Bombyx mori: one gene and its partner. The protein of the gene in region 1 interacts with the protein of each later gene in a pairwise test. Links are inferred from orthologs where the notes say so. Each region holds a gene or a part of one and is shown in the gene's direction. Other genes may lie near its edges.

Region 1 (4,315 bases):
AAGATTACTATAAGCGTCATTAAGTACAAACTATCAATATTTAAGAGTACTTTAAATCATCATTACATTTTTTAAACATTTTTTGTTTTTCAAATCATGTAATAAAACGTTTGTGCAGATCAAAATGTCACATGTTATGAACATGATTGTGGGTTAATAGTTTCTTAAATTTCTAAATGTTTATAAGAATGCTAAGAATAATTTAGTATTCACTTTAGTGTGTGTATTATCTCTACAATGCTAGTATAAATGACAATTATTGTATGACGAAGCATAGGTAGTGTTTATAGATGTAATATTTTCATACAAGGTCATGATCTGTCACGATCAACTTTAAGCAAGAACTGCTATAGTTAAGAAACAAATTTATTAAATTTAATTCAAATTGTCTACTATGTTTGTAATGGAAAGCTGACATGTTTATATTTCGCACAAATGACTTAAGTGACATTGAATGATTTGATTATCTAGACTTAATTAACTTTTAGATAACTTTCGATTTAATGTTATTAAGTACTCTAGTAGGATTAATCTAGAGGAGTTATTGTTATTCGAAATTTTATACAATTGTACGTTCATACTATCTTTTAACAGTAAATTGTTTGTAATATAGGGAAATTAAATAGCTTACAGAGAATTACAGCTTTTTATTTAAAAAAACTGTTTTCTCTCTGTATGAAAAGGTCTTATCGATTAGAATGCTGAACACAATCAAACGTTCTTTAATATTTCATAAGTACTACCGGGAATTTCAGCGATTCTAAACGATAAGATTTTTTCATAGAGTTAATTATAAAAAATATTAAAATTACTAAAAAAGCCACCTGGTGGGGGGTAGGGAGACTAATAATCGACAGCAGCGACGCCTGCTGTCCCGGGCTCTAACTAAAGCAAAAATAAAAATGAGAGTTGCGCATCTATCTCAAATATATTAAGTGTATAATCTATGCTTAAATGTTATGTGTATTCTATCTATGCTAAGAACACAATATACATTTGGAAGAAGAGTTTCCTATTCTTCTGTGCTTTCATAGATGCTAAACAATTAATAAGCTAACATTAATAAAGAAGAAACAAAATTATTTGGTAGTAAAACCATTTTATTATGCTGTGGCTACATATCGTTGTCGACTTCTTGAAACTACTCGCGCGTCACCTATAGTATGTTGATTGGACTATCAATAGAGTTTCATATATCCTAGGAACGCATAGAGGACAAACATATAAATAGACATTTGCTTTTATTTATTTAACTGATTAAATTATTAATCATTATATGATTAAATTAAATTAATAAATTATAAATTTAAATAACAACAAACATTATTTTTCAGGATTTATGGCGAAAGTCTCTCGATAACCCACCCACCTTCGCCTTCGTGCAATAGTTTTTGATCTGGCACTTCCCCTTTGTATGGTCTTCTGTATTTTATGCGATCATGAAATCTGTCATTATGACCCTGCCAGAATTCAACGGACCTAGGAACTAAGAGGTATCCTCCCCTGGAAAAATTTAACTGTGTTATTTTTTTCATAATAAACCAGTTGATTTAATTTTATTGTAAAATAATGAGATTACATAATGTAATAATGACGACACAATTTAATAAAACATGAACATCGCTGTGTTGAAAGTCTCGATAAAAAAATTTGCTTGTTTAATACTATGAAAATTACCAGTTACTTGGTTTTGGGACTTCTTTCCCAGGTATCAGATATTCTTGCTCAAGAACCTTTTGCCTTTGACATAGGATATCTTTAGAAACTATCGGTGTACTTTGGTAGCTCGTACATGCTGCTATCTGATTGGCCACTGCACGTGTGCGAAAGTATTTTAAATTTTCAGCTTCTGAGAGTTTCTCGACTGTGCCTTCAATCCTCACCGATCTGTTCAGGATATCCCAATAAAACGTAGCAGCAACATTAGGATTCCCTTCCTTAAGAAAATGTAAATCATTATTATGATGTTAATTGGATGGACCTTTAAATTTGAAAACTTTCAAATTTTTATTCGTAGATATTACTCTACTTCCTAGTGTTTTTTCCATATTTCTAGATTTTTAGTGATAAAAATGCATTGTGTTTGTATAATACGAGTATATACTAAATATATTTACTGTAAAGGAAATCTAAAAGGTGCCTTTGTTTGAAGGCGAATCTTTATTTGTCGTTAATACTCTTATTATGGTTATATTCCTTAAAACAATTTCGGTTTAAAAAAAAAATTGAGTTGATTTCAAATAAACAAATCAATAATTATATGGCATAGGGTCCTCTTGAAAAAAATATAAAAGACTTACTATGTCTTTAGCTTTTTTACTTCCATAATTTGTGTAGAATTTGAATCCTTCTTTACCATAACCCTTACACAATACAAATCGGGCTGACGGAAAACCCTCCCTGAAATAATCATTAAAAACCATAACTATCCAGATCCCTAATGCAATGAGTAATTGTTTGGATAAAAAATTGATAAGTCTTAAAACATTACCCTCATATATCTTCATAAAAATCTCTGAATAAGATTAATTCAACAGCATTGATCTCGGCCTAGCTATGTTCTTATGATAACAATAATAGGGGTATTTCCTATGTTTGCTTTTGTATATGGATACGACGCCCGGTGTTAGATATCGATTGATGCGACTATTCTGGGGCTAAATTCTCCCAAGCAGTTTTTTTTATTTTTTGTTTATTGTATATGGGTGGACGAGCTCACAGCACACCTGTTTAGTGGTTACCGGAGCCCATAGACATCTGCAACGTGCATCTAAGGTCTCAGTATAGTTAGAACGGCTGCCCCACCCTTCAAACCGAAACGCATTACTGCTTCACGACAGAAATGGACAGGGCGGTGGTACCTTCCGGTGGGGACTCACAAGAGGACCTACCACCAGTAATTACGCAAATTAAATTAATTTTGTGGGTTTAATTTTTATTACATGATGTTATTCCTTCACCGTGGAAGTCATTCGTAAACATTTGTTAAGTACGTATTTCATTACAAAAATTGGTACCCATCTGCGGGATTCGAACATCGTTGCATCGCTAGATGCGAATGCACCAGACGTTTTAACCTTTGTAGCTACGATGCGACGCCTTTAAAAGATAGCGATATTTCTAAGCAAATAGGTTTGCAATACGTGTTCACGAACTGCCACTTTAATGACATTTAATTGCATCCGAGTCAGGCTCTCAACAATCTGTTACCAGAGGATCCTCAGCTACTTCGGTCATATTTCCCGCCGACAGTCAGTTAACTTGGACAAAGTGATTGTGACGGGCAAAGTAGAAGGAAAGAGACCCCGCGGCCGATTACCTAGCCGTTGGTGTGATCAAGTAACCGCTCTAACTGGGTTGCCAGTCGCAACCGCCATTCGAGCAGCTGAGGACCGGACGAGATGGAAACAGCTCACGAGACAGGCAACGGTCGAGTTTCAGGGACACGACCTTCAGCAATGAAGAAAGCGACGAAGAAGAAAGAAGAAGAAGTGGGTAAAATATTATATTTTGTTTACGTTCAATAAACTTAATTGAGTTCACCGGTATTTTCTATAGAATCTAATTTTTTTTTTTTTCTCAAAAAACTAATGGGGACTCTAAATATTTCCAAGTTTTTGTGCTGGTTAATGTGGCTAGGATATCAACTGTCTTTGTTTACAAAACGCAGTCTAGTTTAAAATGTAACTCACTGTGAAACTGTGGCTAGACACATTGCACTGGGCTCCAGAATCTTTTTCGTAGCGCGAGCTTCTTCAAACCAACATTTGAATTGTCCAAACGGCTCTTTCCATGTCACTGATTTTTCTAGAAACGCCCCATTTTTATAGGTATCGCAATTTCTCATACCTAGCAAAACAAAAAAGATACAGAAAGCATTTTTAACAAAATTGTCATTTGTTTTTTAACTAATATTCGAAAACTTACCACCAATACCAATACTCATAGTGCAAGTGTATGTGACAGCTTTCGGTAAATGAAACATTTTATATTGTATTAACCGTAACGTAAAAACAATTAAATATTTCAAATTTATTATTTGTTGAAACACAATAATCGTTCAAGGTCATCATTATTTTTAGATTATCGATAAATTAACATCTACAAAAAATTTATAAAAGATAAACACAGCTTGTTTGCTCGGCTTAAATTCTATTTAACCGAATTTAATTAGTATATTTTATTTTTATTACCTCATCAAACAGACGGGCATTGGGCCTCCAGATGGGGATCGACATCAGTAATCTCTGTGACTCAAATGATTTGCTGCCTATCTATAATATTCTTGAATAGTTACAGAAAAACTGGCGTCTTA
Region 2 (4,071 bases), on another chromosome or scaffold:
GATAAATCAGGTACATATAATGTGTCAGAAAGACTAATTTTATAGCGTCGATCCTTTGTATAAAGTTCGGCTTTTCCTTTCCCTTTAACTTCGGTCGTATGTTTATCTGAAGCTAGCTTTAGAGTGTCAGTCGCGGGGATTAACTTTTATCACCCGTCATATGTGACGTACAGCCACTGTCAAGACACCATAAATTGCCTTTACATTTCGATGTTCCTGTTGTTAAACAGATGTTAAATGTCTTTTCTTGACCTTTAGTTTTATTGGGGTTATTGGGTTTCTTCTTTGACCAACAAGCTTCTGTGGAATGCCCTTTCTTATTGCAATCCTTACAAAATTGTACCTTTTTCTTCGTCTTTGTGTAGAAAGCTTCTGAAGCCTGAGGTTCATTATCTTCGGTTTGCCTTCTTGCTTCGTATTCTTCTACGATTTTTATTTTTAAACTGTCAGGACTTGGTAGAACATCTCTCGACTCAATTGCCGTTCGGAAGCTATCGAAATTTGTAGGTAAACTGTACAACATCATTATACTTAATAACTCTGGATGAATTTTGACATCCATGTCTTCTAATTTACCTACTACATCCATAAAATTACTGAGATGGTCTCTCACATCTTCTTGTGGAGTCATTTTCTTTAATACTAGCTGCTTTAACAACGTAGCCTTTCTTGCCGGCCCTGAACTTTGGTGAATAGACTTAAGTTTGTCCCATACCTCCTTGGATGTATTACACCCTTTAACTTGTTTCAGTTCTGGTGGAGATATAAGTAAAATTAGCTCTGACCTTGCCTTTAAGTCTTCCTTTATGAACGCACTCTTTTCTTCGGCAGTCGTAGTTGCCGCTAACGCTTTTGCACCACTAACGTATTCCCATAAATCGTATCTTACGAGAATCGCCTGTGCTTGTAAGCACCAGGTATCATAGTTTGATTTTGTCAGCGGTTCTATGTTTCTGATACTCGAGCTCATTTTAATTTTTTTTTATTTTCTCATTTACTTACTATTTTAAATTTTAATATGCTTCTTCCATTTGCCACTAGATATTTATGTAACCACGCTCTGCTACCACTGATAGGGTGGACTAGCGGCTATAGCAATTAATTAAAACGTAAATTAAATACTTGAAAACATTGTGTTGTTCAAATATAGTGCATCATAGACAATTATACGTGGACAGCATCACGACCTTCCAACACAAAGTAATAAACATTTTCCAAATAATATATGACCTAAATGGTCTATGTTACCAGGTCTTATAATTAAAAAAAAAACAACTTAGTGCATAGATTATACACATATTATTAGTGTTTAACTCAAATCAGTTGCACAACTGATTAATTGAAATCTGAGGAGAAATATTGTGAATACTTAGCGCTATTTAATGTGAAATATATAAAAAAAGAACGACAAATTATTGATAAAATGAAACCGTTGATTGATTTTGATGAGTGCCTTAGGGACTCTCCAAAGTTCAGGTACATACAACATATTTTCTAATAATGTTGTGGACATGTACAAAACTAACAATGAAAGTGAAATTTCGTGTGTGCTAAACATACTAAGTGATACATTTTTGTTTTTATCGAACAGAGAGCAATTAGAAACCGAAGAAGCAAATATTGATGGGCTAGAACAAAAGCTAGATAAGGTACTGAAAGCTTGCAGCATAATGATAGAAACGGGAAAGACTTATATGAATCACAGAGGGTAAACTTATTATACGAATTTTTCTTTAATTAACATCCTAATAACATTGTCATGGAATAAATATAGTCTAACACTCACTTAAAATGTAGTTTAGGTTTCTAACATATTGGATAAATTATGGTGATTTTAACCCACTGCAAAATTGTTAATATCCAGTAATTATTGAAAGTGAAATAACTAATTAAAACAAAAAAGAATGAATGATATTGAGGGGTGAAAGTCTATTTGTTATAAGTTACATTTTGCTTTATATGTGACATTTATCTTTGTAATTAAAAGCGCATTTTATTTGGTATTGGCATCAACAGTTCAATGTTTTTAATTGAACTTCTAAGAACTTCTAAGTTTACTCCATTCGAATAGCTGTAGAAGTTTTTTGTTACGATTTTTGTTCTTCAAATTTTTAATCTTTACATGGCTCTCCTGTAAAGAAGTGAAAATGTCTCTTAAACCAAATAGTCTTTCACCCCTCGATATATTTTGTTGCTATGTACAATAATAATATGTCCAATAACATTAATTGGTAAAGCACAAATTTTGAATCTATGTAAGTTGTGGAAATTTTGAGGAACAATCTATACTAATATTATAAAGAGGAAAGATTTGTTTGTTTGTTTGTTTTTTTTGAATAGGCTTCGAAACTACTGGACTGATTTGACCTAAATTCTTTTTCTACTAGAAACCGACGTTATCCCTGATGAACATAGGCTACTTTTTTTTTTGTTTCATGTGTGTTCGAGCTCACATCTCACCTGGTTGTATAATAAAAAATCAAATTGGTGGTAGGACCTCTTGTTGAAATATAAAATCGTATACATACCTTGATTTGACAATTTGCTTTGTTCATAATATACTTAATGATTTTGGTGAGAGTAGTTATAAAGTGTTAGTAGACAAGATCTAAGTTCTTAAATAAAATCAATTAAATCATTGTTTTTGTACTATTACTATTTATATTATTTAAATGTTGTCACTTGATAAGACACCACATAGTATTTCAAGGTGATTTTAATCTGTAATATGGAAGGCTTATTCAGTTGTAGTAAGTGATTATTTTAGATAGAGTAATTTTGTCATGAATACATGAGGATTAGGATCTAGAAAAACAAAATCTAAATTAACATTGCCACACTCTCCTTTTATAAATTTTGACGATGTTCCCTTTACTTTAATGGTGTATGTTGATCAAAAACGTCATTATTTTTTATCAGTACCTTTACAAATGCACTATGGGATTTGACCGGAAGTTTCTCAGAAGACCCAACAGTGATGGCACCACTGAACCGTATGGCACATGCTCTGCAGGAGATGACCAAGTTTCATTCAATATTGCTGGACCAGGTTTCCCGAACTGTGATAAAGAATCTCACTGCATTTATAAGGGTGTAAGGATTTTTTAAATGATTTTAAGTAGCTTTGAGAATGGAGGACAAACGATGACATTTTAATACTTATTTGATTCATAAAAAATATGAGTTTTCACATCTCTGTTAACATTCAGCTTAGCTCACTTTAATTCTGGTGTGTTTAAATAATACAATATCTTGTTTATTACTCTAAATATCTAAATGAGTGATTTAATTTTTGGATGACATCTATTTTTATCAAAAGCATTGGAAAGTATTGTTTTCAAAGATATGTTTCATATTTGCATGAGGCTTACTTGATGTTTGGATTCATGTTTTTATTTCTAGACTTGCTTAGACTAACTTAATAAAGGACTGCTACAAAAACTGACTGAAACTGAAAACATTACAAATAATTGAGAATAATAAAAGTGAGATCATACTATAGAAGTAGCTTCAATTATAACTTAATAATTTCTTTTGTTAATAATTTTGTTGAAAATGTCCATTGACTCCAAAAATAACTTAATTATTGGATATACATAATTTGTTTATTGAACATGAGCACAGTGCACAGCTTGCTTGTTTTATGGTTTAAAAATGGATTATTTAAATTATATTAAATTATTATTCAGAAGACACTGAAACACTGACTATGGTTGGGCTTACTATAAGCCTACATGAGTCCTCCCTTCGCGATATAGAAATAGTGTTATAATATGCTAATGCTGTTAATTCAGTAACTTCTCGAATATTAACATAGTCTAATGCCCGTTGAGTGTGAAACATGGTCAGCAGACTTATCAGCCAGCAAACTATTATGGCTTAGAGAAATAATTTTAAGCCCTGGAGTTCTCACTTGATGTATAATAACTTCATGCTAAGATAGCTAGATCATGTGTTATGCAACAAAATAAACTTCAAAGAAAAACATTCAGAATTATGTTAAGTAATTATTCTTTAAAAAAATATCAACTATTAAAAATGAATGTATCAACAACATATTGCTTAAGTTGA

What was found. The genes of interacting proteins can lie anywhere in the genome.
Region 2: the proteins of ras-related protein Rab-35 (region 1) and arf-GAP with coiled-coil, ANK repeat and PH domain-containing protein 2 interact in a two-hybrid assay, tested with the Caenorhabditis elegans proteins (2 studies listed by BioGRID). The link is inferred for Bombyx mori from reciprocal best matches to the Caenorhabditis elegans genes rab-35 and cnt-1.

What each region holds. Positions count from the first base shown.
Region 1 is NC_085122.1:8,797,443-8,801,757, forward strand, and holds the start of ras-related protein Rab-35, read left to right. Parts: upstream 1-1,503; intron 1,504-1,677; coding exon of another isoform or gene 1,678-1,937; intron 1,938-2,300; coding exon of another isoform or gene 2,301-2,400; intron 2,401-2,949; exon of another isoform or gene 2,950-3,191; 5' UTR 3,192-3,495; intron 3,496-3,692; coding exon of another isoform or gene 3,693-3,849; intron 3,850-3,927; coding exon of another isoform or gene 3,928-3,985; exon of another isoform or gene 3,986-4,101; intron 4,102-4,193; exon of another isoform or gene 4,194-4,315.
Region 2 is NC_085114.1:6,704,063-6,708,133, reverse strand, and holds the start of arf-GAP with coiled-coil, ANK repeat and PH domain-containing protein 2, read left to right. Parts: upstream 1-1,271; 5' UTR 1,272-1,423; coding exon 1,424-1,476; intron 1,477-1,591; coding exon 1,592-1,708; intron 1,709-2,919; coding exon 2,920-3,093; intron 3,094-4,071. UniProt on the Caenorhabditis elegans protein: GTPase-activating protein for the ADP ribosylation factor family. Regulates endosome recycling downstream of rab-10 and upstream of arf-6.